Linked DNA regions of Struthio camelus. The protein of the gene in region 3 purifies or fractionates together with the protein of the main gene of each other region. This does not show direct contact. Links are inferred from orthologs where the notes say so. Each region holds a gene or a part of one and is shown on either strand. Other genes may lie near its edges. The genes, in order: EXOSC2, MOV10, UPF1 and RBM8A.

The links.
Region 1: the proteins of UPF1 (region 3) and EXOSC2 purify together in Homo sapiens (affinity purification with western blotting; 3 studies listed by BioGRID and IntAct, with this or other methods). This does not show direct contact. The link is inferred for Struthio camelus from reciprocal best matches to the Homo sapiens genes UPF1 and EXOSC2.
Region 2: the proteins of UPF1 (region 3) and MOV10 purify together in Homo sapiens (affinity purification with mass spectrometry; 3 studies listed by BioGRID and IntAct, with this or other methods). This does not show direct contact. The link is inferred for Struthio camelus from reciprocal best matches to the Homo sapiens genes UPF1 and MOV10.
Region 4: the proteins of UPF1 (region 3) and RBM8A purify together in Homo sapiens (co-immunoprecipitation; 7 studies listed by BioGRID and IntAct, with this or other methods). This does not show direct contact. The link is inferred for Struthio camelus from reciprocal best matches to the Homo sapiens genes UPF1 and RBM8A.

What each region holds. Positions count from the first base shown.
Region 1 is NC_090961.1:6,313,697-6,321,465, reverse strand, and holds the start of EXOSC2 (exosome complex component RRP4), read left to right. Parts: upstream 1-4,666; 5' UTR 4,667-4,728; coding exon 4,729-4,853; intron 4,854-4,969; coding exon 4,970-5,071; intron 5,072-5,161; coding exon 5,162-5,207; intron 5,208-5,854; coding exon 5,855-5,944; intron 5,945-6,293; coding exon 6,294-6,359; intron 6,360-6,534; coding exon 6,535-6,603; intron 6,604-7,769. Other genes in the region: PRDM12 (PR domain zinc finger protein 12), read left to right, coding at 726-837, 1,900-2,282. UniProt on the Homo sapiens protein: Non-catalytic component of the RNA exosome complex which has 3'->5' exoribonuclease activity and participates in a multitude of cellular RNA processing and degradation events.
Region 2 is NC_090965.1:9,496,669-9,503,884, reverse strand, and holds the start of MOV10 (helicase MOV-10), read right to left. Parts: upstream 3,009-7,216; 5' UTR 2,911-3,008; coding exon 2,777-2,910; intron 2,289-2,776; exon of another isoform or gene 2,056-2,288; intron 1,108-2,055; coding exon 1,011-1,107; intron 906-1,010; coding exon 778-905; intron 637-777; coding exon 398-636; intron 283-397; coding exon 42-282; intron 1-41.
Region 3 is NC_090967.1:6,070,949-6,078,940, forward strand, and holds the start of UPF1 (regulator of nonsense transcripts 1), read left to right. Parts: upstream 1-4,968; 5' UTR 4,969-5,110; coding exon 5,111-5,335; intron 5,336-7,992. UniProt on the Homo sapiens protein: RNA-dependent helicase required for nonsense-mediated decay (NMD) of aberrant mRNAs containing premature stop codons and modulates the expression level of normal mRNAs.
Region 4 is NC_090971.1:3,081,847-3,089,333, reverse strand, and holds the start of RBM8A (RNA-binding protein 8A), read left to right. Parts: upstream 1-4,384; 5' UTR 4,385-4,764; coding exon 4,765-4,996; intron 4,997-5,500; coding exon 5,501-5,560; intron 5,561-6,123; coding exon 6,124-6,201; intron 6,202-6,603; coding exon 6,604-6,740; intron 6,741-6,976; coding exon 6,977-7,113; intron 7,114-7,487.

The DNA.
Region 1 (7,769 bases), on a different chromosome or scaffold from region 3:
CTTTCCCTGACCCTGCTGATGCGTTTGAGCTGTTGCAGGAGCCTGCGCTTGGGTGCAGGCAGCGTCGCCCGCCTCGCCCCGCGTCTCCCGCAGCCGCCGAGCTCTCCTCCGCCCGCCCTGGGCTCACCCAGCCCTTTGCTGATGCAGCCGCGCTTCCACCCGAATGCAGGCACAACCTAGCTAAAACGATCCCTAGCAGGGTCGGGTGGGAGATGCTGCCCACGTCCTACAGCAAGCGGGTGCCAACTGCTCCTTTCGGGGCTGAAACGCTCCGCCGAGGCACCGAGTCGGGTTTCTGGGTCGTGGCTCCCTGCGTCGGTCTCTGTTGCTGCCGTCTCTCACTTGTCCCTCGCGGGGCTGCGTATTCCTCCGTGTCTCTGTGCGCACTGCCACGTCCTCGTCTCTCCAAGCAGCAGGGACCTCTCGGTCCTTTGCTCCGGTGACCCCGGCTCTGCCTGCGCGGTCTGTAGCTGCCCCTCCACCAGCCGCAGCGTTTGCCACCCAGGACGGGGGTGACCGAGGGGCAGGTTTGTGCCGGTGGTTTGCCTGTGTCATTGCCTTCAGGGCTCAGGGGGTGCTCGGGCACCTCTGGCAGGTCCCAGACACCAACAGACCTTGCGGGAGGCGAGGTGCGGTGAGCGTGGGTGCAAAGGGACGGGGCAAGGGTGCGTGGGGAGCCGTTCGCCGTCCCGCTGACGCTCCCATCTCTGTATCCCTCTCTCTAGATGATTCCTCCGGACCAAGAGCTGCTGGTCTGGTACGGAAACTCCCACAACACCTTCCTGGGCATCCCAGGCGTGCCGGGGCTGGAAGAGGAGCAGAAGAAGAACAAGCACGGTAGGTAACATCAGAAATGGCCACGGGTGCAGCTTCTGTGCCCATCCTCTGCCCCCGGCTCCCTTCGTCCCCGGGAGCAGGGGTGGGCATGGGGCAGGGACATCCCAGGGGACGCACGAGACCCTCCGGCTCCGTAGGGACGAACGCAGGGACCATCCAGCAGCAGAGCCCAGCCCCTGCGAAGGATCCATAAAGATTGGGCAGGTGCCTAGTAATTTGAGGGGCTCCGTGTGAACCGATTAGCCCAGGGCAACTAGTGGTCCGGTGGCCAGCAGCCCGCTGCCCCAGCCCGTGGGGAGCATATCTGTGCGGCAGGGACGGTTTCGGGGAGAGGAGCAGGGCAGGCGTGCAAACAGGAAGGAAGGAGCCCCAAGGCACCGGGAAACGCCAGGCGGACAAAGTCACCGATTTCCCTGCTCGGCACTCAACGCCGCAACCCCTTTTTCCCCCGAATCGCCCCGGCAGGAGGCCTTTCTCTCCCCGGGACCCTCTGGCTGGGGCGGCTCCCCGACGTGCCCCTGGGCGGGCGGGCGCAGAGCTCCCAGGGCGCTGCGGGGGACGCTGCTTTCGGAGCCGGGCCCCCTCCGCCCGCGGCCCTCCTCCCCGCTCGGCGCGAGCCCTGGCCAGAGCCCGGCAGAGCAGGGCAGAGAGCCGGGGGCGAAGCGGGCGCCAGCTCTCCCGGGGCGGGAGAAGAAAGAGTCTTTGGGAGCTGAGCAGCCCCGACTGCGGCTCCCGCGCTCGTCTGCCCCGGCTCTGCACGGAGAGGGAGGCGAACGGCGCCGCGGGCGCCCCTTCCGTGCGAGACAGGGGTCAGGCTGAGCAATCCCCTTCCCCAAATTTAAGGAGATCGTTCCCAGCTCTGGCCACATCCCAAAGCGGTAAATATCAGCCTGGAGTCGCGGGCGGGGGTCTCCGTTCATGGGGCCGCTGTGGCCGTCCCCAGCGGGCAGGTGGAGCGAGGGAGGAGGCGCGGGGTGGTTATTTCGGGCTCGGGAAGGGAGTGAACAGCCGGGGCGGAGGGCAGCACCTGACGGTCCCCGTCCGGCGCTCTGTCGTCCCCAGAGGACTTCCACGCGGTGGAGGCGGGCGCCAGCACGACGGGGCGCATGCGCTGCGTGATCTGCCACCGCGGCTTCAACTCCCGCAGCAACCTGCGCTCCCACATGCGCATCCACACCCTGGACAAGCCCTTCGTGTGCCGCTTCTGCAACCGCCGCTTCAGCCAGTCCTCCACCCTCCGCAACCACGTCCGCTTGCACACCGGCGAGCGCCCCTACAAGTGCCAGGTTTGCCAAAGTGCCTACTCCCAGCTCGCCGGGCTCCGGGCCCACCAGAAAAGCGCCCGCCACCGGCCCCCCAACGCCTCGCTGCAGGCCCACTCGCCAGCCCTGCCCGTGCCCCATCCCGCCTCCCTGGCCCACCACATCCCCACCATGGTGCTGTGAGCCGCCGGCGCAGCGGCGGGTTTGCGGACAGCCGGTGGCAAGGGGCCAAGCCCGGCGCTGAGACGCGCGGTGCGATGGGGGGTGTCGACCCTTGGCGGAGCTGGGGGGCAGAGGCAGGGCTGCTTTGGGTGCCGAACGGGCGCATTGGTTTATTTTTGGAGCAGCGCCGTCCGCGCAGGGTTTGGGGGGGCCGTTCGGTGAGCGAGAGATCCCCCCACCCGGCTCTGCAGGGTGCAGCCGCACCGGGCTTGGTGCTCCCCAGGGAGCAGGGCAGCGGGATGTCCCTTGTCCCTGGGAGCGGGCGAAGGGATCGTGCCTCCGAGGGGCAGAAAACAGCAGGATGTCTCCTGTGGATTGGCCAGTGCACTGGGGGAGGGCTGGGGCGGCCCAAAAGCTGAGCTGGGGTGAGTCACACCTGGGTTTCACAGTTGACTTGACAGAAAGAAAAATTGCTCTTATCCCTTCTCCTCCCTTGCTCCAGCGAGTGCCCAGCAGCGCCGCGTCCCCCCCTTTAGCGGCTGGCACAGCTCCATACAGGCCATTGCGTTGGTGCCCGTCTACCCCCGGGGGGGCAGCTGTGCCCCGGGGGGCTCTTCCCAAGGGAGAGATGGCCAAGCCCCAGCGCGGCCTCCGCGGGAGCCCTCCTTTAGCAGTCGGTCGCCTTGTCCCCGCCAGCCGCGCTCGGCCTCCTCGCCTGCCGCCCGCGCGCCGGGCGTCCCCGACGCCTCTGGACGGCGGCGTTGGAGGCAGAGGCCGTGGGGACATCCCCGGCTGGACGTGCCAGCTGGGAATGCCCCATCCGCGGGCAGGTCTTGGGGGGTCTCTCTGCGCTCTGCCAGGCTGTGCCTGCTCCAGCCCGGGGACCATCGCTCCCTGCAGCCTTTCGGGAACATTTAAATTTACTTCTACCGCCCTCTGGGGACAGAGAAAGCCCGTCCCTGGGCCAGCTCTGTCCCCAAGGACAACTCTAAGCGCCCTCTGGAGTCCTGCCACAAGCGAGAGCAGGGCTTTGTATCATAAAGTTTAAAAGAAGGTATTCTAATATTAATTATAAGTCTAAGATGTATAAAGTTCTCACAAACTGTGTTTTACTTCCAGAAAAGAAAACAATTGTCACTTTAACTTTGTAAATATTTATGTAAAACATTATTTACAAAACTTTGATATTATATATTATTTGATCGTATATGTACACAGTGTAAATACGTTTGTACCTCTCTCTTGTATTCTAAATAAAAATAACTTGGAACATTTATCATTTAGAAGACGGATGGTTTGGGGAGCTTTGTTTTGCTCTGTGGTCAGGGCGCGTGACGGTTTGGACGCGTACAAGGCGAATAAGGGGGCGTAGTTTCATCTACTAGAGCAAGCAGTGCTGCTGGGGAAGAGGAAAGAGAGCTTTGGGATGCAGAAACCCTTTTGCAGGTCTGCAAGAGAAGCGGCAACTTCAGCCTAAATCCAGACGGATGGCACTATTTGGTCCAGTATCTTCTCGTTTTATTTGAAGCAACAACTGTTGATGTCTTCCCTGAAATAATGGCCATGTTTCCTCTGTGCCGGGCTACAGATATAAGTCTTGCTCGAAAGAATAACGTTTGATCTTGGCCCAGAGGAAGAGACGCAGTCCTAAAGGTCATCACGGGCTTCTTTTCCCTTGGTATTTTCCCAGCAGCTCCGAGGGTCTAACCAATGAAGTGAATAAAACTTCCACGCAAGCAGGTGATTGACCGTTGCCGCAGCTTTGCCAAACTCCTCACCCCTCCAGGCCAGCCCGGGGGGGCTGGAGGAGCCCTTGTCGCCTGGTGGAAGATCACCGGGCCCGAGGGCGACTTCGGCAATGAGAGGCGCCGACTGTTTGGTTTTCTTTTTTAAAAATCTATGAGATGTGATTTTTTTTTTTTGGAGTAATGTTATGCAACCCTCCCCTGTCGCACGTACAACCCGGCAGCGAGATGGGGGCAACTCAGCCCCTCAGCAGGGCCCTTCGGCTCGGGGGGCCGGGGCCGCCGGCGGGAGGAGAGGTCTGCGGCCACCCCAGCTGGGGGCTGGCGGCCCCACGCTCAGCCCTTGACCCCACAGCTCTCCCCGAGGACAGCTCCTGCTGCGGGGTGGGGGCGCCCGGCTGCGGGGCAGCCTTCCCCGCTCAGCCCCACAGCCTGCCCCTTAAGGTGGAGGAGGCGGGCAGCCACCTTTCCCGCACCAAACATGGCCCCCCTTCTCTCCCTTTGGATCCCAACGCGGTGAAGCCCACGCCGTCTTTTTCTGCCAGCAACCAAAATGGCCGCCCAACACGAAGCCGCTACTGCCGCCGACGGCCGCCCGCGGCCCTCAGCCAAGATGGCGGCGCCCTGGCCTCACGCGCGCTCTTGCCAGCAACCAGCATGGCGGGCGGAAGGCGCGTGTGGGAAGCGGGCGCCGGCGCGGCGCGGCGTTGCCCGCAGCCAACATGGCGGCGATAGCGATGCGGCTGCCGGTGGCCCGCAAGGCGGTGAGGCAGAGCGCGGCGCGGGGCGGCGAGAAGCACCTGGTGGCGCCGGGGGACATCATCACCACGGACACGGGCTACATGAGGTGGGGGCAGCCGGCCGGGCCGGGCGGGGGCTGTCGGCCCCGCTCGCTGAGGGCAGCGGCGCTCCGGGGGCTCTGGCGGCTGACTCCCCCCCGGCTGAGGGCCGCTCTCTCCGCAGGGGCCACGGCACCTACGTGGGCGAGGAGAAGCTCATCGCCTCGGTGGCCGGAGCCGTGGAGAGGGTGAACAAGCTGGTGTACGTCAAAGCGCTGAAGACCAGGTGCGAGCGGCCGGCGGGCCTCGTCGCGCGCGTGGCCCCCAAGGCGCCGCCAAGACAGGATTGCCCTAACGCGCGCTCTCTTGCTCCCAGGTACAACGGTGAAGTTGGCGACATCGTGGTGGGGAGGATCACTGAGGTAAAGCTCACAGAGGGTCCCGGCTGCTCTTCCCCGTTAGTGACTCCGGTTTTTCCTGACGCGCTGTTAAGTGGGAATTAAGTCTTGGCTCATATTTGAAGGGCAAGAGTGCTGCTGATGAGGAGGACGGTCCACCAGACTGAGGTATCTCTGTCTGTTCCAGAGCGTTTCTGAGGCTCCTAAAAGCACATTAGTATTTGTGCTTTTCAGCACTTGCCATCGTGCATTAGGACAACTAAGTGCTTTGCAGGGTTGGAGTTGGCGCGTCTGAGCTCTTCCCGTCTGCGGGATGCTGGAAAAGACTAAGAACTGAGGAGAAAATACATGGTTTTAATTACGGACCATTAACCAATTAAATGTTAATATTATTAACATTTGGGATTTTAAAAAAGATGAGGCTAAAAGTAGGCTACAGTGCTGTCTCAGCTCTCGCCTCTCTCTGTGTCAGTGCTTGTACAGTGTGAGCTCGCTGATACGAGCACCCATCGTGGGATGGGCCGTTCAGTTCAATCACCGTGCGTGGCTTGTTGGTCTGCAGCTTGCCTCGTGCTGGGCTGCTGGCTTGAGTGGCAGCAGGACCTCCCTCTCTGGTGAAGAGCTTTTGTTCATTTTGTGAGCATATATCAACAGAGTTTTTTCTTTTGCAGGTTCAGCAGAAACGATGGAAAGTGGAAACCAACTCCAGGCTAGATTCAGTCTTGTTGCTGTCATCTATGAATTTACCTGGTGGGGAACTGGTGAGTGCAATTGATGTAGAGCAGTGCCAGAGCCTCTCTTGTTCTGCTTTTACAGCAGAAGCTGAGGGCTGTGCACCGAGAAGCTGGGAGGCTCTGGAGCCCTTCCCACGGTTAGCACAGGGGTAGTATTGGTGTTTCTGCCTGTAGGTGCATCGGTAGTGCTCTGGTATCTTTATTTAACTCTTAGTGTTATTTGGACAGTGACCTAAATACCAGAACCTCGTTTTTCTTTGCTGCCAAGATTGTGTTTTGCGTGCCATCCTAAGGAGGTGGTCCCCTCGGTGTGGGAATCACTTGACGTTTTTCCATCCTGGGCCACGTGTAATTTTTCTCCCATTCTGCTTTTCAGAGAAGGAGATCTGCAGAAGATGAGCTTGCAATGAGGGACTATTTGCAGGAAGGAGACCTCATCAGCGTATCCTTCCACTGCTTGCATTCAGGCAGAAGACCCAAGGGGCATGGGTGAGAATGGCTAGACCTTAGCTAGCCAGACTGATAATGAGAGTTCTCTGCCTTTGGGCAGTGAGCAGCCAACTCCTGTTGGCACTGAGTAGCATTAGGGAGCTTGTTTCCTTAAGTGGCATTGACAGGCAGAAGTCCAGTCTGTATTTTCTGATGGGGCTGTGTCACTGCACACCCGAAGTCTGAAATACGGGAAGGTAAGTTGCTCAAAAGCACTTAGTTTTGGCTTAATTCTGCTCCAGTTGACTTGTAAGGGAGTGTCTACGCTGCTGCTGAGTATGGTTTAGACTTCCAAACCTGCAATGGATTGGAGCTTGAAGCAGATCAGAGCTCTTTCTGGGATGTCATCTCCCTGCTGCAAGAAATGGGATGTGAGAAGGGCAGGGAGGAGAGAGAAGGTCCCTTTGGAGAGTGCTCTGATGAAGGATAATACGTAGCCCGTCAGACAGTTCCTCCTAGGTTGGTGGTCCTGCGGCTGAAGGCCAGGCCCTTCCTAAATACAGCACAACTCCACCCAAGTCAGTAGAATTTCTTTGGCTTTATATCAGAGTAGCAGCAGGATTAGGCCTTTTGTGAGAGGTTGCTCTGTGTGTGTGTGTTTGTGTGTGTGTGTGTGTGTGTGTGTTTTGTTTTGTTTTTTTTAAGAGAAAAAGCTCTGGGGTAAAGCAGGGTGTTGTTAGAACCCATCCCTACAAGTTAGGAAGGATCGTAGCCCCCACATGGGAAAACAGATTGGAGTTCCCCAGTGCAAAGGGAATACCCTTGAGCTGCCCTTTGAACCACAGCCCTCCTTGTCCACAACTACAGGCTGCGAGTCCTGTTTCCCCCACTAACCCTTTGGGAATTGAACCCTGAGGAGAAAAAACTTCTGGCTCAAACTTGCTAACTCCTCTTCTGCAGGCCATTGCCTTTATAACTTGTTTCTCTCCCCAGGGCTCTATTTTAGGCTTTATGCAGTTGGCATTTATCTCTGGTTTTGCGCATTGTAATAAGCCAAGGGGCCGTTGGAGCGTAGGCTGCAGTTTGGGATTACCGGACCAAAGGTATTAGCGCTTAAAAGATGAAAGCGAAATGTGCTTATTGCACAAAGGGTGAAGGACAGCTATTGGATTAAAAGGGAAAGCGTTCTGCTAAATTGGGCCTCTCACTCTTCATTTTTCTGCAGGGATGGTTGATGTGTAGTTACGATCAAGATATTATTAACATTTGTGCTAAGAACTCAGAGTATTCTTCATCTTCAAAGGGCTGCACAGACATTAGCTAATTCTCCCAGCACTCCCAGATGCAGGCAGGTTTTATAGTCGCTGTTTCACAGGAAGGGGTGTTAAAGCTGGCTGGTTCATAGACCAAGAATGGAGCGCGT
Region 2 (7,216 bases), on a different chromosome or scaffold from region 3:
TGGCCCAAGCAGCTGCGGGCTCTGCCCCAGCCGGGCTGTACCTCTCGGGGGGGGTCCCGTCCTCGGTGACGACCGTGACCGGCCGCCGGAGGCTGGCCTGGTAGGGCTCGTAGGGTGCCGAGGGCCCCAGCTCCTTGGCCAGCTGGGTCTCGGCGGTGGCGGAGAGGAAGCGCCCGATGCTGAAGGGCTCATCCGGCTCCTTGGTGAACTCGAACACCAGGGTGACGAGGAAGCAGCCGTTGAACGCGGTCAGGCACCGCACCTGGATGGGGTACGTGCTGCCTGCAACGCAAAGAGGTGGGAGCGGAGGGGCCTGCACCCTGCGCCTCCTCCCGGGCCGCGGCCGCCGCCGCGCAGGAGCGCGTCGAGCGGGCGGACGAGGGCTACCGCCCCTTACCCGGGTGCAGCACCAGGGGCTGGCCTTGCGTCGCGCCGTGCTCGTCCGAGAAGGAGAACTCCTGCTGCGGCCGGAGGGGCCGGCACCGCAGCAGCGTCACGGGCTCCTCCCCGCCGTTCTGCACCCGGACGGCGGCCGTCCAGGGCTCGCCGAGAGGCACGTGGAAGCGGATGTGCCCGTCCCCCTGGTCGTGCTCCGAGACGATCTCTATCCCGTGCTTCCCAAGGATGAACTCGGCCCTGCGGGTGGGGGGGATCAGCCTCTCCGCGGCGCGGAGCGGGCGCCGGAGCCCGCCGGGTCCAGCCCGGCGCAGCTCCCTCCTGGCCACCGCTCGGGGAGGCGCGGGCGGCCCCGGGACCCGCGGGGCGCCAGGTTCGTACCGCTCCTTGGCACGGCCCTTGGGGGCACGTGGGCCAGAGCCGGGCTGCTGGCCGGCAGCCGATGCTGACGGCTCTGCGTCCGCTCGGGGTCTCCGGTACTGGTCCGCCACCACCACTCTCCTCTTCTCCTGCAAGGAGCAGCCGCATCAGCGCGGCCGCGGGAGCAGGGCCCTCGGCACGTGTCCGCGCTCCCGCGGGAACCGCCGCGCTGCCGGGCCCACGGCCTCCCTTACCTCCTTGAAGTGCACAGATGTCCTGTGCACCTGGGCACGGTGGTTCACCTTCAGGGCGTACAAGATGCTGGAGAAACTGGGCATCTTTGTGTCAGTCCTGCACGGTAAGAGGGAGAGAGCGTTTCGGCGCAGGGGAAGAGCAGCGAGGGGCGAAGTCGGGGCGGCACAGGCTGCGCGAGGGTGCTCCAACCAGTCCCCTCCACTCTGCGGGAGGGAAAAGGACGGGGGCTTTTGCACTGGTCCCGCTCAAAACTTGCACCCCCTCAGGCTGCTATGGCTCACAAGCTTTTCCACCACGTTTGGCTTGAGTTTTGTGGGATTGCCTGTCTAGCAAACCTCATGCTACCTAGAGGCTTGTGGGTCCCTTTGCAAACAGGGCTTGCCACGGGCAAGCAGGGGTCGGGCTGGAAGGGCACAAAGCCCCAGGCAACTCCACGGTACAACTGCGAACAGCTGGGGTGGGTGCTGCAGGGCCCCGGCCTGGCAGCGTAGGCGTTTCTGGATGCCATAGGTGAAGCTGAGGCCCCGGGCAGGCTGCTCGGATGCCGTTCCAGCTGTGCTGCCGCCGTCCAGCTGTGCTGTGCCTGTTCCAGCTGTGTCACGGCCCTTCCAGCTGTGCCGTGGCTGTCCCAGCTATCCCGCAGAGTCCCTGCCTGGCCCCACTGGGGCGTGCAGCCTCTGCACTTGCCTGTGTACAGGTGGCAGCGGGGCAGGGACGTGGCACTGTCCCCAGACCCTGGAGGTACAAGGATGTCCTGGAGGGGCAGGGACGACTCAGCGGGGTCCGGGCCCAGGGCTGAGCCTGCGCAGGGGGCATCCGGCAGAGAAACTGCTTTGGCTGCTCCTGGCCAAGCCCACGCTCCGAGGCGCCCGCCGCAGATCGACAGTGTCTCTAAGGCACTGACTTGCCACTTCCTGACCCTGGCAGGAGAGCTGCCTCCCCATGACATTTCCTCCGGGCCGCAGAGCACATCCCTATGACCTTCTGGCTGTTTGCACCCAGACTTGGCCAATGATTAACAGCAGTGACATTGCACAGGGCCCTGCTCTGGGCCAGCGTGGCCGGTGCCGGCGGGGGGAGCCTAGGCAGCGGGTGCCGGCGGCTGTGCCCCCGCGGCTGCCGGGGCGCTGGCTGGGGAGCCCTGCCCGGGATTCCTGTGGCCGAGGACGGTCCCAACGGAGCCGCAGCAAGGCACGGGGGCTTGGATGGCACGCAGGGCCCGTGTTCGGAGGGGACTGCTCTGATGCTCCCTGCATCTGCAGCCCAGCAGGAGACAGGTAGCCCCACTGGCATCACGCTGTTTTCCCATGCCCAGAGAGTGTAAAGCTACTGGGTTTTGAGTTTAACAAGTCCAGTTGGTTCCTTGCTGCTCAGGGAGCACATGCTGCTCCATCCCACCCAGACAGTGACCAAGGAGAGTCTCCGCAAGCCCAGCTTGCTCCCCTGGGGGTATCCTCAGGCCCAGAGAGCCAGCCCCACGCCTGAGATCCTGGCCCCGGCGATGCTGGCTGCGGACGGGGCAATGCTGGCCGGGGGAGCTGGGTGATGCTGGCTGGGAACTCAGCGATGCTGCTGGGGGGAGGCAGAGGATGCTGGCAGGGGACTGGGCGACTCTGCTGAGGGGGGGAACAGAAGATGCCGGCTGGAAAAGGGGCATCGCTGCTGGGGAGAGGCAGGTGAGGCTGGCTGGGGACTGGGCAGCGCTGGTCGGGGACGGGGCGATGCTGCTGGGGCCGCCCCGGGGGGACCGGCCCGGGGCTCTCACCTGGCCCGAAACTCCTGGGTGTAGATGCTCCGCAGCGTGTCGCGCTGGCTCTCCTGCTCCCGGCCCGTGTCCCGCAGGAACCGCACGAACTGCTCCCCGCAGCGCCTCGCCTCCGCCACGCTGCACCGCGGCATGGCCGGGCCGGGCTGGGCTGAGCCGGGCCGGGCCGGGCTGGACTCCGCTGGGCCGGGCCGGGCCGGGTCGGGCTGCGCTGCGCTGGGCTGAGCCGGGCGGCTCGGCGGGGAGAAACGAAAGCGAAAGGGGCCGTGCGCCCGGCGAGCCGCCCGCCCCGGCGGGGCTGGGCTGAGCCGGCCCCGCGCCCCGGCTCCGGGGGCTCCGCCGAGCCCTGCAGCCCGCGCCCCGCCCCGGGCATCGCCCCCCGCTCCGGGGGCTCCCCGCGCCCGGCAGCCCGGCCCCCCCCGCTCCGGGGGCTCCCCGCGCCCGGCAGCCCGGCCCCCCCCCCGCTCTGGGGGCTCCCCACGCCCGGTCCCCCCCCGCTCCGGGGGCTCCCCACGCCCAGCAGCCCGGTCCCCCCCCGCTCTGGGGGCTCCCCACGCCCGGTCCCCCCCGCTCCGGGGGCTCCCCGCGCCCGGCAGCCCGGTCCCCCCCCGCTCTGGGGGCTCCCCACGCCCGGTCCGCCCCGCTCCGGGGGCTCCCCACTCCCAGCAGCCCAGTCCCCCCCCGCTCCAGGGGTTCCCCACGCCCAGCAGCCCGGTGCCCCCCGCTCCAGGGGTTCCCCACGCCCGGCAGCCCGGTCCCCCCCCGCTCCAGGGGTTCCCCACGCCCAGCAGCCCGGTCCCCCCCCGCTCTGGGGGCTCCCCACGCCCGGTCCCCCCCACTCCGGGGGCTCCCCACGCCCAGCAGCCCAGTCCCCCCCCGCTCCAGGGGTTCCCCACGCCCAGCAGCCCGGTCCCCCCCGCTCCAGGGGTTCCCCACGCCCAGCAGCCCGGTCCCCCCCCGCTCCAGGGGCTCCCCATGCCCGGTCCCCCCTGCTCCGGGGGTTCCCCACGCCCAGCAGCCCGGTCCCCCCCGCTCCAGGGGTTCCCCACGCCCAGACCCCCCCGCTCCAGGGGTTCCCCACGCCCAGCAGCCCGGTCCCCCCCGCTCCGGGGGCTCCCCACGCCCAGACCCCCCTGCTCCGGGGGTTCCCCATGCCTGGCAGCCCGGTCCCATCGCTCTGGGGGCTCCCTGCTCCCAGGCCAGCCACGGGTCCCCTGTTCCGGAGCGTGAACAGAGGAATCCAGCTGGGAGATTCACCTCTGACGTGAACTGCCCCGGCAGCACGCAGAGGGGGCTGGGGCAGGCTGGCATGCCCCAGGGAGCTGGGCTACCTGCAGGGGTTCACATCCTCCCTGCTCTTGGGGCTACTCAAAAAGTAATAGACGCAGGCCCAAGCTGAGAAGTGTTTGCAGGGACCTGGGAAAGCAGAGCTGCCAAGTGTCAAAGTCTAGGTTATTTGGTCAGCTTGGGCCTAGAGCCGTGGCACTAATTGTCCCTAGGGAGGGCAACTAGGCACTGCAAGCTCAAAGCAGCTGCTGAGGCTTCTTACTGGCTGGAGACATGGTGCCCAGGTGCATTGCATTGCTGTAGCCAATAATGAGGGATAAGAGCTCCCAGAGCACCACGCTGCTGCCCTATAAATAGGGCAGCAGTGGCAAAAGCTGCTTTCTATGTTTGGCTCTGCCCTGATTTCCTGTGCTTTAAATCTCCAGCCTGCTCAGTGTGGATGGTGGTCTCTGACCTGCTTCTGTGAAGTGGCTGAAGGCCCTGGGATTGCCTGCAGTGCTACTTAATGGGTTGATTTTTGGCTTGCCTGTAGCTGAAGGATGTTGAGGTAAGTTTGTTATTTTTACTGCTTTAGTTCCAGTGGGCTTTTCCTCTGACTGAAGCACTACTGCTGTCCTGCTGCTGTCTGGAAGAGGCTCAGCAGGCTGTGGTGGTGTGTGACCCCCTTGCAGGTGGTGTGAGGGCTCTAAGCTGCTTCTGAAACCACTGCCTGTACCCTGGGCAAGGGTGTGCTATGAGTTTGAGTGCTGAGACTCAAATAACCTGCATGTGACTTCCTCTGCATGAGTTGCTTTTTTTTCTGAAAGATGGTGTTTGTAGTTAAACCTGATTTTCAGCCTTGTATGTGCAAGCTAGAAAAGCAGCAATAAACTCCAAGGCCCTTTTGCTCCTTCATCAGCTCTCGGAGTGCTTTACAAAAGAAGTCAGGATCACTATCCTATCTAGGGGCTGTAGAAAATGGGGCATAGGTAGGAAAATAACATGGGCATCTGAGTCCTGTTCTAGTGTTCTGTGTACTTATTTAAAAACTCTGTGTTTTGCAGCCTCTGGAGTTTACAAAATCACTTTCTCCTCTGTATATGTCACACATTACAGGTGGAGTCTTGGAACTTTAAGCTTTGCTCTTGCAAGCAGATAGAGGAGCTCTTATCATTGCAGTCAACTGGGTAGCCCAGTGGATGTCCTTGGGGCCAGCAGGGATCCTTTCCCCAGGACTGGGATGGGAAAGCTATGTTTCACTCAGCTTCCTTGAGTCAGTCAAATTACCATGCCTTTGCACTGTAACAGAACTGGGTTCATGCTGCCTGTTTAAAAAAGGCATTGGCTTTGGTACACCTTGGCAAGACCAGCCCAGAACATATATTGTTCTCTAGCTGGCTTTACTCCTATGTAAAACTTCTGATTTCAAGCAGAGAATAGCTGAAGATTCTAAAGATTAAAATGCCTTAGGTATGTGTCACCGCTTGCACTTGTGTAATGTCTTTGTGTAATGTGGCAGTAACTGGGCTGTGTCAAGTTTTGTTTCTCCAAGGAAGAAATAGGAGCTGGGGAGGAGCTAGGATCAGCTAGATCACCGGAGCTAGGATCAGCTAGATCACCGGAGCTAGGATCAGCTAGATCACCGGAGCTAGGATCAGCTAGATCACCGGAGCTAGGATCAGCTAGATCACCGGAGCCTTTGCTGTAGCAAAGGACAATACAGGAGAAAGGTGAGGAGGTAACAGGGAATGAGTTGGCCCTAAAGAATGATTAGCTAAAGATTCAGAGAAAGGAGAAGAGAGAGAGACTGTCTTAAGGTTGGAACAAGTGGTGGGAACTATGTGCAGTGCAACTAACTTGGAGCAAGGAAAGACTAGCCTTGTGGCTTAGGCAGTGCTGGAAGATAACACTGTGTGCGCACAACAGAGCTTTTATCTTGGGCCCTGCTTCAGTCTCACATTCCTGGAATTGCTGCAATGCTTGTCTGGATGGGACTGTAGCCACATAGACTACAGCTGCTTAGGTGCTCATGTTCATAGTGTTTCATTTCTTCTAGGAATAGCAGGGAGGAAATACTTTTTACAAACATCCAGTGGCAGAAGCACTAGCCTGAGTAGCGCTCTTAGCACAGCAGTGTGCAAAACTGACCAGAACAGGACAAGTCTTGCTTTGTCCAATGCCCCTGACATAGGATGTATCCAGCAGTTACTTTTTTACTCAAGTTGTTAAACGCTATGAAGCTATGTAGGTGCTATAATGAGATATACATGATTAGTGAAGTAACCTTGTCTGCTGTGTTTTCCCAGGGTCAAGCGTGTCATGATTGGAGCCACGTGACTATTTTTACTTTTAACTTAAGTGTAACTTTGCAAGCAGTACCATTCCAACTTTCAGGCTGCTTATGATATCACCTGCAGTTCTACCGTGATCAGGAATCTACAGAAGTGAGACCAAAAAGGACAGACACAAATGGCTTTAAAACAAAGACTGGTGTATTTCTACTAGACTATTTGATACAGAGGATGCCTGTAGGATGAACGGTCAGTCTTAACAGCAAATACAAACATTCGGACAAAATTTCTCAGAACACTGACACGCTTATATTGTGGTATTACTGTGCAAAACCTAAAGTGTAATGCACAAGCAGCCCCACCCCTATCTTTCCAATCCCCCTTCCTTGTGTATGTAAAAATAGGAAGACACCACCCAATTTAAAAAGCAACCTGCAAAAAGGCCAAGTGAGAAACAAATGTAAACAAAGCAAAGTGAATTAACCACAGGGGCTTCATCTTACAGTGAATTCACGTTTTGAGTTCTGACTGAGAAAGTATCCACGTGCCCCTCCAACCTCCTGTTAAAAGTAGCAGTCTGAAGCAGTTTCTCTTGCTTTTACAGACAAACAAAGCAACAGAGCAAGCTTTTAGAGAGCAGTGAAGAGATTAAGCCCAGCATCCCCATTAAGTGTAAGAAGAAACTGGCCACAATAGAGACAAAATGGAAAGGTTTTTTCTCTTGCTTTGGTGCAAGTTTATTTATCATTTTGTACACTATTCATTCATACACCTGTGATACAAATTCTAGGAACCTGCCACAAAGCATTAAAGCACAACATACCTATTTTTCTGTAGACATTTGCATTTTTAATCTCCATCCAGACTAAAGGGATCAGCAGTG
Region 3 (7,992 bases):
ATCCAATCCAATGGCACTTGATAGATACCTTTTAATGATATGCTAAAACACTTATAGAAATGTAAGCATTAAGGACTGATTAATTTTAATTATAATTAAAAAAAACACTTTAGTTCCACCTTACTCAAAGCAACCCTTTCTCCCAGAACTCTTCTTAATATATCATTGGCTCAAACAAAGCAGAACGCCCAACTAGTGATGCCTTTGTTTTATCATGGCTGGAAGTAAAGCTTTACCGACGTTAGGGATTCATAGACTGCATGTGCTTAAATGTGCATGCTGCGTTACCTTCGATCTAGTGCATATTAGGATTGTGCTTTCTAATTCCACAAGAGTCCAATAAACCTTTCAACATCTACTTAGGGTTTTTTTATGGTCCTCTTATTTCATGAAGGCATTTATATGAGTTCTGTCATTATATTTGCATCGTCAGCCATTAGTTCATGAAAATCAAATACAAGTAAACAAAAATAGCTCCACAATCTTCTTGTCCAGTGCCTATTAAATGCTCCAATATTTGTTGGTCCAATAGCTAGAGATGGAACAAAAATACAGGCAGCCCAAACACTCCCTATCCCAACACTACTACAGACATTCCAGCAGGAAAAAGGTCAGAAAAGATTATGAAGTTCTGGGAAAAGATCCATTTTAGCTATTAATACTTATTATCACATTTTCTAAAGTCCAGGAAGCTTTCTAGAGATTATTTGGGATGAAGGAAGCTATCAAAATGTTATGATCCCAGAAGACCTTTCCAAACAAAAGGAAATATATGTTGCTATGAATCTTTTCCAACGCTATGTTAGCTTTCCTTCTATGTCCCTCTTGTGGTGACTGAGCAGAAGTGTAACATCTGCAATGGAATGGCTAGTTTACTGTCTTCCAAAATTTTTGCTTTGTTGCTGCATTTTTGGTGCTTTTTTCATTAAAAGATTTTCTCTTTCAAGATTCTTTGATATTGAAAACTTCTCAGTATATTCTGACAAGGAAATAGGTTTTTGCTTTTTTGTTTTTTTTTAAAGTATCCTCTGCTCTTCCATTTCCTAGCAGTCAGGCTAGGTAAAACTCCAAGGGATTTTCACTTGAAGATTTGTTTTAGGAGAGAGGCAAACAAAAGGAAGAACAGAGAGAGAAGAACTTTTAAACTAATGAGAGTTTCATGAATACGAAACCAAAAAGAAAAAATAAATAGATGCTAAAATGCAAATGTGAAGCGACAAAACTGGTAAGAAGGTAAAGTGATTAAATATGCATAATAAATTTACTGATTACATTTATAGTTCTATAATATGTTAATGTATTGCAAAATCACAGTACTTATTGTATAGAAATCACCATCAGCTGTGCAGTGTGTGAGTGTTCCTTATGAATTCTTTATCAAGAACATGGGATCTCCACCTGAGAGATATCAGATAAGGCAAACGTGTACTTTATACGTATTGTCCCCTAACCTGGGATGTTTTATTCCAGGATAAAAATACTTGATTTTTTTAAGCCAACCCTGCCATTTAAAGTAGCAGCTCTGCAAAGATTTTTCACACCCAGTTTGATTGGCTCTGAACCCTTCCCGTCATCATGACACCTCCTAACACTATCTCCAAGGCTTGGAGTTTGCAGAGACCAATCAGTTCATTCTTTTTCATAACAGGTTTTTTTTCACTCTTCTCTTGTGCAGTTAGCAAATCCTGATGCGAGTGTGTCTTGGAATTGAAATGAGTTTCAAGGAAAATCCTTTGGCACAGCTAACTATTCTGAGACAGGATTGAATTATTTCTATCAATGGCTAAACTGCAGTACACATCATTTCAACACTTACAATCAAGAAGAACCTTTACTTTCACCTCTTCAAGATAAACAACTTAAACTTTCTTGCTTATGGAAGCAAGCAAAAAGTATCCTCTTTAAATTCATCCAAATCTGTTCTCTCGGACAGCTTTTTATGACTAAGTATGCCCTGCAAATTCTAGCTTCTATCCATGTATAAAAATGGTAAAACATCATAATTTTCTCAGAGATTGTGTTCTCATTTTCCAGAGCGTTACCTTTTTAGATTTCATATTGGGCACGCAGTAGTAAAGACCAATGACTCAGAGTGGCCATCCCGCTACATGAGCCCATACTTAAAAGATAAAACTTTCACAAGAACATTAGATAAAACACAGCTCACAGAAACAAATGTTGTCCAGGAAGCTTTGTAGTGCAGCCTGCATACATTTTTTACCTCAAAATACACCAGAGTAGTCCACAGAGTTTCTCGCATGCAGTAAACTATGATCAAACAATTATGCCATGAGATACAGATGCAGCCTCTCCAGAAGTCATGCCTCTATATTGGTACAAACACAACCGGGAGCCTAACGGCCACGACTAATTACCAGTCTAATCTAGCTTGCCCTTGTTGAAACATATCAGAGTGAACTATAGGCTTTCCACACCTGACTCACTATGGTTTTACTTTTTACCTGTGTAACAGGGAAACTGAACCTCCTGGGGGGTAGGGGATCCACAGAACCTCTTTGCAGCCCTCCAATTTCAGCACCTTAGACAGCAGCGCGATTCTGTCGGAGGACACAGCTTACGTCGCTGGTGCTTCCGTATCACAAACTGAGTTCAGCTTCTGATGGCACTATGAGCGCAGGACCTGCAACTTTCTATATGTTTTCCAACTAAAGTCTGTTTGAAAACATTCTTATTTTCCGTATTATGCAGAGGACAGGGGGAAAAAATCCAGGCAGCCATTAGCAACACATCAAAACTTTGATCGGTGTCCAAAACTTTTGAGGATTCTGTAAACCAGCCAAAAGTTGAAGTATGTTTTGTTTATTCATAAACAAGTGTCTGTACTAAACGGCCTACCTGATTTTATAAATTTCTTCCTCAATTCTGCTTTCATCCTAAAGTAGGATTTATTATTTTCTCACAGTTGTACTTTTCCCTAAACTACAAAACAGTTAATTTCCAGTTTGCTTTATGGAAATACCAATTTGGTTCATCCTCTGAATGCTTTCCAATGAGATTATAGGTGGTACTTAATTCAGCTGTATTTCACCTTCAGGAATCAAAGAGCCTAAACATTCGGACTGTCCTGTAACACTGGTGAAATTATGTATGACTTATCTTGATATCACTGTGCAAAATAGCAGCTAATGCGGCAGTCATAATTCCAGAATCAATTTTTCATTCTGCCTTTTGGTTTTAGTCGTTTGTTTGATTAATCTACTTTAACCTGAATCTTGAATTAGGATACTTTTATAATAAGCTATTGGTGTAGTCTCCTTCTTCACAGAGGCTTAAAGCTAAAGAGGAATTCAAACAGTCAGTGTGTGAAAAATGATAACTAACTCTACTTGCTTTTTCCCCCAATTTGGTGCACAATATTCCCAGGACAAGGATATTCTTCTGTCTTCAGCTACATCTTTTCGGCTTAACAGCTGCAAATCTGGTCCCACATATTGTTTTGGTTCCAGGCTTTATCCTACACCAACAGCAAGAACAAAATTAAAGTTACTTACAAAAAGGCAGTACATATTTGCATCTTACAGTTGTCAAATGAAGTCTTTAGTAGGGAAAACGGATTGAATATCTAACTTTTCGCGTCAATGTTTTTCACAACACAGAAGTTATCTCAAAAAAAGATGCTTTGTTCTAATAAAAGGATGTTGAAATGAGGGCACTCAAATTTTCTCTTTATTTATGGGTAGCAACACGTGATACTCACCTCCTCTGCAGAGCCCAGTCATTCACCTTCCTCGACCTGGAGGAATTTCCATGGCCCACTCCATTACCCCCACCCTGTGGCAACTCAGCTTTCTGACTATTTTTACACTGTTAAATTATGACTATTACGAGTATAATAGGTATTACAGCTAGAGCAGATATTATTATAACAGTGGAGCCTTCTTAATCATCACGTCTGTCTCAAAACAGACCTCAAGCCCCCCCACACAACTCTCCTACCTGCTCTCTGCGTGACTCAACGCACTCATTTCAAACGGGGGACATGAGGTAAGGAGGCCGTAGAAAAGGTGCTAGCAGCTCCCGGCGAGGACGAGGGGGTGAAGGACCCCACGTTGCCTCCACAGGGGCAAACACCACCACGAGCCCCCCCCATGGCTTACCCTTACACGGGCCGTGCACCACCACAGTCCCCCTCCCCTCCCCCACCACCACAGAGGCCGCTGCCTCCACAGGGGCCGGCCACCTCCGCAGCCCCCCCGCAACCACAGGGGCCGGCCACCACCATAGCTCCCCCCCTCCCGCTCCCGTCGCCTCCACAAGGGCCGATAACCACCTCCCCCCCCCCCGAAACCCCTTGCCGTCACAGGCGCCAACCGCCACCACAGGGGCCAACGGCCGCCACAGGGGCCAAAGGCTCCCACAGCGCCCCCCCTCCCATACAGCCCGCCCTTCCTCCTCAGCTCGAGGGCCCATTGGCTGTCAGGGCCGTCAGTCAAGGAGTAAGCCCCGCCCCCTACGCGCCGCCGCGGGCGGGGGGAAGGAGTTGAGCGGGGGGAAAAGGGGCAGCGCCCCCCGCCCGCCAGGTGGCTGGCGGCGCCTCCCCCGCGCGGCGCGGCGCGAGCCCCTTCGCGCCTTCCGCCGGAGCCCCGCCCCCTCGCCTGCCCTCCCCAGGTGTGTGCGTGCTACGTCACCCCTCCCACGCGTACGGGGCGTGCTGGCGTCGTCGTCCCTCCGTGCGCTGCGCGTCACCGCTCCTGGCCTGGCGCGCGGCGGCGGCGGCGGCAGCAGCGGCGGCGGCGGCGGCCGGACGGTTCCGCTCCCAGCGCCTCGGGGCTCGGTTCTGTGGCGGGGCCCGCCCGCTTCCCCCTCCCCCCCGCCTCCTTCGGCCGCGTCCCCCCCCCCGCCCGCCTTCCTTTCCCCCCCCCCCCCTCCGCCGTTGGCTCGGCCGCCCCGGCGGCGGGTTCGTTGGTGGCCGGCCGGCTGGCGCGCGCGCGCGCGGCCTGGTGCGCGCGGCGGATCCTGCCGCTCGCGTAGCGCGGCGCCCGGGCTCGCTGAGGTGAGGCCCGGCCGGGCTCGGCCTCGGGCACGGGCTCGCGTTTTTTTTTTTGGGGGGGGGGGAGAAGCGCCGCTTCTCGACGCCGCCGCCGCCGCCATGAGCGTGGAGGCGTACGGCCCCAGCTCGCAAACCCTCACCTTCCTGGACACCGAGGAGGCCGAGCTGCTCGGCGCCGACACGCAGGGCTCCGAGTTCGAGTTCACCGACTTCACCCTCCCCAGCCAGACCCAAACCCCGCCCGGGCCCGGGCAGGCGGGGCCGGGGCAGGGCCAAGGACCCCCCGGAGCGGGGCAGGGGCCGCCGGGACCCATCGAGGCACAGGTGAGACCGCGTTGGTGGCCGGGGGGGGGGGGGTCAGGGCGTCTCCGCCACCGGGGAAGCGGAGGAGGGAGGTGGGGGGGGTCCGGAAGGGGCGGGCGGGCCCGGCCGTGGGGCCGGCGAGGGGAAGCCCTGAGCGGGCTGGGCGCTCCGGACGGGAAAGTGGAAGCGGCGTGATGCTGACCCGCGCAGAGGAGGCTCCCGGCCGCGGAGCGGGCGGCCCGGCGCTGGCTGCCCTCCCCGAGCCGGCAGCCGGGGGGGTGGGGGGGGACACACGGGCCTGAAACCCGTGGGCTTTTCTTCCTTCCCTGGGAACGGAGGGAGAGGGCGCCGAGGCTAAAAACTTGCGGTCTCTCTTCCGCTGGTAAAGCCAGCGGCCCTCTCTGTTGGATCGGGACAGGCGCGTCGCTTTTCGGTGCGATGCCGAAGTAAGACATCGGAGATGCTTCAGGATGTGGTCGCGGCTTGTTTCCGTCTTTAAAACAAATATAATTACAGGTAGTACTTGCTTTTCCAAAAGTTGGATACTGCACCTGTGGAAATTCACTGTTACTCCCTTTAATTTATTCCTTTCTCTGACTGAGACCAATAGATGCGTGTTTTTTTTTTAATTATTATTTTTATCCTTACTCTTTGCCACCTTTCCTCCTGCACAGTTGCTAAGCTCGTTTGTTTTGGGTTGGTATGGGATATGGGAGCAACAAGCAATATGGCCTTATGCTCCAATTCAGAGGTCTGTTTCCTGATAGCTTAAAAATGAGTATTTTTTTATATAGTCTGATGTTGGTTGGTAGATGAGTTTGTTATTTGACAGTAGTGGCCTTACAGAAGTGAAAGCAAAAAGGGAACTGCGGTTATATACTCGCATGCCAAGAAGTGTTCTAAATGAGAATGCTGTCTGTCTCTGTGCCACACCTTGGCGGTGTACGTAACAAAAAAACCTGAGAAACTGTTCCATATTTTTAAAAAAAGTGAAACTAGGCTCTCCATGTGAAGATCGTGGAATGTACTGATAAGTTTTATTGCATCTAGGTAAACACTTATGTAGTTCTATTGTTAATGATGAAATGATTATAAATTATCCATGTTTTAAAGCATGACTTTAAAGATGAGTTGAAATACTGTAGATAAAAGTTCTTAATCCTGAACCAAAACACAGTTTGGATGGTTTTTGATTTTTTCCTCTTACTTGCAAATACTGACTGATGTATGGGGTTCCATAAATGATATAGCTGTGGATATACAAGTGAGCAAACTTAAAACAGGTCAAGCTGTCCAGGTATTGAAGATCTACAGGTGTGCGGTGCAAGGCTAAAAGTGGTATTATCCTGCCATAGCAGATGTATCCCAGGATGAATTGATTGATTGTCTTGTGTTTTCAGATGCTTAGCGTACACCCTGGGTGTAGCTGCTATGGTGTGACTTGCTCCAGGTTCGCATGCTTATGTCTGTACCCAAAGGTGGAATTAGAGATGTGACCCCGTGGGCTGTTTGTTGTTTTATTTTATAATAATTAACAACTCAGATTTAGATTTGGCAAGGTAAACATTTTTCCTATTTGAGAATTCAGGCATCACAATTATTAAATATTGATAAAATCTGTGTGTCTGTATGCAGTCAGCATATATATTAATTGGTTGAAAAGGTAGCTTTAATAAAGTCGTCTTAATTTTCAAAGCTTTAATCGGTTGTGATCTTTCCAGAACTCATGGTAGAGAACTACAAGCCAGAAGAACAAAAAAAAAAAAAACCCAAATAAACTTATGCTAAAAGACCAGACTAGAGGATTTTTTTTGTCTAAACATGTTTGAAAAGCCTTTGAAGTAAAATGGGAAAAAAAAAAAAAAAAGCATAGAGAGCACATTCAGGTATTAAGAAGTCGATAGCCATCCTGCCAAGGGGAAAGAATGGTGCATTTTTTTCTTCCTTTCCTTTTTTCTTTTTGTCAAACTGAATACTCTTAAGGTGCTTTTTGCAGAATCTTTCTGATGCTCATCTTGATGCCAGAAGTTATATGCTGGGGAGAGGGGAACGGACCTATTGTGACAGTAACTGCCAAAAAACAAATCCCTCTATCTGTTTAGGCTTGTACATTTCAACAGTCTCATCTGTTATAAGATCAGAAGTTATATATTTTTAAAGATTGTGGAGAATATTTTGTTACTTTGAATATGTAAACTTGTCGTGTCTTTTGACAGGGAAGATGCTAAAAATGCAACTTCAAAGGCCTGAAAATTGATCGCATTCATTTTTTCTCAGTTAATTTTTGTTACTGTAATATAACTAAAGCTAATTAAATGTATAATCATTATTCAAAGCTGATAAACACTGGAGACGTGTCATTTTATCCTGCTGTTCCATGTTCTGATATCTTCTTAGTGTCCTGGTGTTTAAAAAGATTAGTCGAGAAAGACAGAGCACCTAATTTCTTAAGAAAATGTGATTGATTTAGCCACTCTAAAGGGGCTTCCTTCCCCTACATATATTTAACTAATAGTTTAAGAGGATGTTGTTGCAATAGATTAGTATGCAACTGACAAAAGGTAGTGAGAAGATAACAGTGCAGAAGCAATTCTGCTGTTTCTCTTTGGAAAACGTTATTTTTGTTGTTTACATATGGCATGTTTAGGCAAATCAACTCATATGTTCAATTTTAATAC
Region 4 (7,487 bases), on a different chromosome or scaffold from region 3:
CATGTTGTGCAGACCTGCTTTTTTATTCTGCTTCTGTAGCAGGAGGGGTTCTATCAAAACTCCTTCTTGATAAGCACAGTAATAATAAGCATTCTTTTTAACTCTACAGTGCAAGCTGCATTGGGGAATACTCCAAAGCACGTAAAAGGGGTTTAAAGCTGGGATTTTGGTTTAGTCAGACTTAAGTCTGGGGATCAGTGTACAAAATTCCAGTTCAGTCTCAGGCAGGATTCACGGTTACCCCTACAACTGTCAGGTGTCTGGATCTGTTCCTGCTCTGGTCTTTCACTCGTAGGGTAAGACATAGTTCATTCCCAAAGTAAACAATACACCTAATGGCAAGCTATAAAACCCTGTGATACTTAAGGGATTGGTCTAGCAGTTAATTAGTCTGCACCAGACAAATTCTCCTGCTATGCTCTTTTTCAGTCCTCTTTGGGTTCTTACAGTGTTTCACCCAGTCTAGGAGGATGGAGATGCTAAAGGGCTGTCCCAAGCGCTAGCAGTTGGTGGTGGTATGAAATGGCCGGTTTACCCAGCTAGAAATCAAGCCTTGGAGTTGTTTGGCTTCCCCAGCTAACCCAGGGAGATGAGGGTTTTTGAAAGTCGTGCAAGAAATAAGAGATGGACACGCTGTTCTCTCCAGGGTAACTTCCAAACCGAATGTCAGACTTGGCCTTTTCGAGGAAGATTTTAAGAGCCTTGCCAGAGTTTCAGACTTAGCGAGCAATAACAGGGGGGAGCTGTGCAGCCTCTCTCCCTGAAGAGCCTTGTATATACAAGTCTTTGTTAACCAGAACTGTATTTAATCCTTTGAACCAGAACACAGGCTCTACCCAGCCCCAGCAGCAAAAGCGCAAATGGGGGGGCTTGGCCTCAACTTTGCATTGCTTCTACCAGCCAGAGTAAAGGGGTCTTACCCTTGTGCCAAGAGGGACTGTGCTTAATTTACAGCACGCAGCGCTCTCCGCAGCCTAGCTCCCAAGAAATAGTTGGCAGGGGCAATTCTTAGGATTACTGGTGGATCAGAGAGCTGCTGCTTAGCAGAGGGCTGAGGAGCTCTGCAGGTGTCTTCAGTAGATCACACAGAGCACACCTTAATGTTACCCACTGCGAACTTGGTGTGGGAGGAAGGGAATCACTAGATTGTATAAAATGAAGGTGTGGGCTATAGGTTTGGCACCTCTGGCCTGTAGCGTTTATATAGCGTAGCCTCACACAGCAGAATGGGAGAGAAAGCGAGTGTAAGAGCTGTGCTTCTCTTGGAGCTGGAGGCTCCCTGCTTTGGAGCTTGCTCCGTTCTTTTCAGTAGTGGTGTTGGAACAAAACACTGCTGAGTTGAGAACTTCTATATGCACTATTTTTTTAAATGAATAGTTCCCTGCTCTTTGTATACATATCAGTACTAAATCTGTATGATGTTTAGATTAAAAATACTCTTCCTGACACTTGTGTTCCTGTAGCTCAAATTCACAGTCCGAGAAAGTAGTGATTTGTTCAAGGTAATTCTTGTATCGCTTCCTACTTTTCTAATATATAGCCCAGAAGAGTCAGCAATGTCTCAGTGGGACTATAAATTGAAGACAGACTTCTTTCTTCAACACAGTATTCAGCTTTGACCTTTCTCTGGTCCTTCCCCCCTTATACTCCCCCCGCCCCATGACTATACTTTGGGTAGAGGTGCAAAGCCTTTGGGAATCTGACGGGTAGCTTTTGCTATTGCCATAGATGACCACCCCTCAACCCTCTCCTTTCTCTGAAGCAGCCTCTTACTGTGAACGTAGAGGCACGTGGATATTCAAGCAATAGTCTTGTTTTGAAATGAAGATCAAGAAAAGTGCGTTATCTGTAGGCATTCTAGTTTTGTATTCTTGTCCTAACAAGCCTATTTTGTTTTTATATATTTTTTATATGCAGCCTTTTTACACAACAGTATTAATGTTTAATGCGTTTATAAATGTGATTGTAAATGGTGTGGAGTTTTTTTGTTTGGGTTTTTTTTGTTTGTTTGTTTGTTTTACAGGTTGGTAATATCTGGACCTTGTATTTGGATTTAATCACCCGCTCTAGAAATAGTGTGGAGTCTAACATCTTCCTATTAGCACTTCCACACCTGTGTATAGTGTTACAGTACGTCATGTGAAATGGTGATTTATCTAACAGCCTGCTCTTGCAAATATGGAAACTCTTAAGAAACTTCACTTTTTGAGCAGATGGTGTAAGCAGCATCGGCACCCAACCATACATCTCCAGGCTTTCAAGTTGCTTGGACCTGCATCAGTGTTTTCCTCTGCATTACAGACCGGGGTTTGCCATCTTATCCTAGTTACTTCTCGCCTCTCTAGCAGCATGAGATGGAAAACGTGACCCAATAGAAAAGCCCCCTGGCATGAAGAAGTTGTGAGACATCCAGTTCTTGGCTAATTTGGAATCCTTATGGCCCACTTGGATTTTGCAAGTTGAAGAAGGTCATTTAGAGCTGTAAAGATCAGTGGGCCAGAGCTGGTGCAGTCTTGCCGTAAGAATCCTGGTGCTCGTTGAGGAAACATCGTACAGCCCCTTCTCCCTGACTACAGCTGGGTGCAGCAGGGAGTTTGGATCTAGGATTGCTTTCAGGCACCCTGTTTGAATTAATACTGCCTTCTCCTTTGCAGTACAAGGCCCTGTCAGTTAGAAATTCCTTTACTTAAACGTACGTAGCAGCACCTTAACAATCAAACTCCCCCTGGAGACTTCCTTGGGGAGGAGGAGTTCTTGCCGAGCAGCGTCTGTGCCCTACGTGTTAGGACTCTTGGTGTAGCAGAAGTTGCACGAGCTGCTGTTTGCAGTGCTTACGAGTGTTTTGCATGTAGGGATCTTAATGGTTTTAGCAAAGCTTGTCTCCGTAACTCTCCTCTGTCCTGCAGCGCTGAACTGTACACAAGCTGTTTCAGATGCCTTACTACTGCCAGCAGCCGTTCTTAAACGAATCTAGGAGGATTATGTTGTTTCCACTGTCAAGGCCCAAGTCTGCAAAATGGGACGTCCTGGCAGAAGGGAAGGTACAATGAAAACCTGATACACCAGTACTTTTGTTTTGGCAAAACCGAGGCTGGTTTTTAGTCCCCTGATCTACTTGCAGGGTGATAACGCCCCTGCCCTAGGGACGAGGAAAGCTTTCTGGGCTTTCTTACTTCAGCTACTTGTCCCATCTTTCCTGCGGAAGCCATCGAGCTTGTTTTAAGTAGTTGTGGCTGCAGAGCCTGCCTCGTACTGAACGAAACCAGCTAAGCCTCTGTCATCTGAACGTACCCATACACGAAGCCTGCATAGTTGGTGGGTGTCACTGCCTTCCCCCTTCTTTTGGGGGTTAGAACAACACTAAGCCTAGGCAGGCGTCTGGGCAGTTTTATATTAAATAGCAGCAAGTGTATAAAACTGTTTTCTTTTGTTCCAATTACAACTTTATACTCTCGAAACGTTGTTTTCCCAAATCCCGAGGGAGGGGGCAGGGGGACTGGCCTTCAATCTAACCCGAGGCAGCAGCAGCAGGATTAACATCCTGGCTTTTTCAGTGTCCAAAATCTTGTTGTCTTCCTTCTTCATGCTATAGGGTTAAATCCAAAGCTAAAATGATAAATCACCTTTCACGTGCCGTCCCTGCCTTTTTCCATGTATGTCATAACTTTCAGTACATCATTGCATTTTGTATGTATAATTTTATACAATAAAGCTATAGATTTTTGGGGTAGCTGTGGTGGTTTCTCTCCCGTTTTGAAAGGCAGAAACGGCAAATCCTGCCACTGACTTGTCATTTGCATCTTTCCTAGGCGGCAGTTCGTACACCGGGACAAACAAGCGTTTGCAGTTTCCACCCCAGAAGCGCACGGGCGACGTGCTGTTTCTCGCTAAAGCGGTGTTTGTCCTCGTTTAATTCCAGCTTTTTCTTCTGCTTGTGAAAGTGGTTTATGGTCTGTTACTCTGGGGCGGAAGCCAGGCAGGCCTGGCCTTAGCAGCTGGCGACAGAAGCGGCCTCCGCTGTTGGAAGCTGATTTTGCTCTGCACAAGAGGTGCTTCCCCGGCCAGCCTTGCCTTAGCTTTCCCCGCTGGAGGGAGCTGGTGGCTTGGGACAATTTAAGGCTCTTAAGGCTCTTTTTTTTTTTTTTTTAAACCTCATCCTTTCCACCCATGGGGTCCCCTCCATGTCCCACCAGCTCTGCCCTTCTGCTGCCTTTCCAGGGTTGTAGGAACTGCACAGCAAAGGGCACGTTTGCCCCCAGAGCAGGAGCTCTTCTTTGTCCTCTTTTTCTTTCTTTTCTGCAGTTTGGGCGCTAGTCGGTCTCGGGAGGGCTGAGCTCGGGCCGCAGCCCTTCCCCGGTACCTGCGGGGATAGCCTCTCCTCCTCGCAAAGGTCGGCCAAGCTTCGTCTGCCGGAGCCAGGTCCCCCGGGGGCTCGAAAGCCGCCGGCAGGAGGACGGCCAGAGGCGCGGATGTGCGCGCTGCGTGCTGGTGGAAGCCCCGTTTCCCCTGGGAAACCAGGCCAAAAAAATAACTTTGCTTCACGTTGTACTGAGCAGCGAGGCGGTGGGGAGAAGCAGGCGGCCCCCCGCCTCCCTGAAATGTTACCTGCCCCTGCAAAGAACCGTGAACGGTTTAAGCAGGTGGGTGCGGGGTCAGCGTCGGAGCTCGCCCCCGCCACCCCCGGGCCTTGCCCCGGGGCAAGCGGCCTCCAGCGTGGGCCTGCTGGGGGGGGGGCACGACAACCCCCCCCCCTCCCTTCCCGACATGGCGTCCACGGCCGGGCAAGAAACGCCGACCTCACCAAGATGGCGCCGCGGGCGCTTCCGCCGCGCGTCCTCCCTAACATGGCGGCGCCCGGCAGGGCTGGGTAGTGCTTCCGCCCCGCTTCCCGGCGTGCAGCGCGGCAGTGGCGGCGGGGAGAGCGGCAAGATGGCGGACGTGCTGGACCTACATGAGGCGGGCGGCGAGGACTTCGCCATGGACGAGGATGGCGACGGTGAGGGCAGGGCGGTCCCTACCTGCCTGGTGCCACCGGCCGGTCCGGCCGGCTCCCGGGCCGCTGTTTCCTTCCCTCGGGCCTGCTCAGGGGGCCCTGTAACGGCGGGGCCCTGTCCCCTGTCCGGTCCTGGTTCAGGGCCAGGTTCCCCCGTGGGCTCCCCCCGCCCCGCGGCCAGTCCTAGGCCCCCTCCCTGCGGGCCCTGCTCTCAGTCGGGTCCCCCCGCACCGGCCCCGGTTCGGGTCCCGTTCCCCCATGTCGGTGCCCAGCCCGGACTCGGGGACCAGCCTGTCGCAGGGCCCCAGATCGGGTCCTGTCCCGCCTCACCGATGCCCAGCCCGGACCTGGGGACCAGCGCAGCCCGGGGCCCCGTTTGGGTCCCGTCCCCTGTCTCAGTGCCCAGCCCGGAGCTCAGAACCAGCCTGGCCCCGGGTCCCCCCTCCCCGCCCCGGTTCCGACCCGATCGCGGGTGCCTTTCCTCACTCCCGCCCCTCTCCTTCACAGAAAGCATCCACAAGCTGAAGGAGAAGGCCAAGAAGAGGAAAGGCCGAGGCTTCGGCTCAGGTGAGCGGCGGCGGTACGGCTCTACCCTCCTTCCCGCCCTCCGGCGGGCAGCGCCTGCCCGCGGGACCCTGGCGTTGGCCGCTGCTTTCCAGCGTTCTCGGCCCCTTCCCCTCTCAGGCCTCGGTTTCCCGATTTCAGCTAAACGCTCACCCTGGAATCGCTCGGCCGAGGTCCCTGGCAGGCAGATCCCTCCTGCTGGGTGCACTGGATCAGTGGTTTGTGTGTCGTGACGTTTCAGAGCCCGTTTAGGGCGGTTTGGAGAGTGGGATCAGAGCAGGAGCTTTGTACAGGAATGTAGCGTCTGCTGGGAGCAGGATCGCTTTGCCAAAGCACAACCCAAATCTGGCTGGCCTTGCTGTTCCCTCCCGCAGAAGGGAGAGGACTTCTCAGGGCTGCGTGCGCAGGCCGGTGGCCTTGTCCTGCCCGTACAGAGGAGCTGGCTTCAAACCTGGCTGTTTCAGCGTTCTCGGGGAGTCCTTAAAGGTTGTCTGTGTCCTACTGCACTCCTGAGCGATGGCAGCGGTCACCCACCTCTCTTTCCTCCCCTTCTGTTGCGTGTCCAGAGGAAGGCTCGAGGGCCAGGGTGCGCGAGGATTACGACAGCGTGGAACAAGATGGGGATGAGCCAGGCCCACAGCGCTGTGAGTACCTGCAGGAGGCACCCGTCCCAGCCCTGACTCCGGGCGCTTTAGAGGAGGGAGACGATGTGTTGTTTTCGGGGAGATGGTGGGGAAACGTGGGGCCGTTACTTGGCTGCGTATCAGGATTCAGACCTTGCTGGGGCTGAGCCTTTCCCTGCCTCTCCGGCCTCTGTCTTGGGCTAAGCCAAGAGGTTGCTCTCTGGGACGCCAGCTCCCTTTTCCACCCGTGTGTGGCTCATTCTGTGTTGTGCTTAGCCACAACGCGCCCAGGGATTTCCAGCCACTCCAGGGGCTGGCTCTCGTGGGAGGCCCCTTCCTGAGGTGTCTCACGTTCGCACCGCAGAGGTGGGAGAGCACCCTGCGTTCGGTGTAACGATTGCCGCTTTTCCCGGTGCGCTGCAGCGGTCGAGGGCTGGATTCTGTTTGTCACGGGGGTTCACGAGGAGGCCACTGAAGAGGACATTCACGACAAGTTTGCGGAGTACGGCGAGATAAAAAACATCCACCTGAACCTCGACAGACGGACGGGCTACCTGAAGGTAGGAGGGGATGCGCAGGTTGGGCTGGCCTTGAACCATCTCAGCCGCTTCAGCGGCCGCACATAGGGACGCGAACACAATTTCCTTTTCCCCAGCGCTACTGTCGGGTGCCGCAATGCTGCCTGAACAGCAAGACAAGCTCAGGGAGGGGTTTCTCAAACGTCCAGCCTCTCGCTGGGCTCCCTGCTTCCCCTCTGCCCGGGATCTCACTTACTTTTGCTCCCTCCCACCCTTAGGGATATACTCTTGTTGAGTACGAAACCTATAAAGAGGCTCAGGCAGCCATGGAGGGGCTGAACGGCCAGGAGCTAATGGGGCAGCCCATCAGCGTGGATTGGTGTTTTGTAAGAGGACCCCCAAAAGGAAAGAGAAGGTAAGAGGGTCTGTGCTTTTTGACCGTGTTAAGCCAGAATGAGGTTTTCTCTGGATAGCCGCATGGGAGGAAGGGTTCAGCTGCAGCTCCTTTGCCCTGCTGAGGCAGACAAGGGAGAGCAGGGATGAGGCTGAGCTGCTGGTGGAAATGTCACAATGTTCACGAGCCCTGGCCGGGGCTGGAGACCTGTGGATCCGGGGAAGGTGGGAGGTGAATGCCCCAGAGCGTTTGGTAGCACAAACGTTAGTTCTGGCGGAGCTGGCTGACTTTGCTGTGAAAAACGCTGCAAACTTGGGCTGAGCCACCGTCGCGCACGGTCGTCAGCGTGACCTTGGCGTGCCAGGGACCAGCTCGTCTGCGTGGTAGAGAAGTGC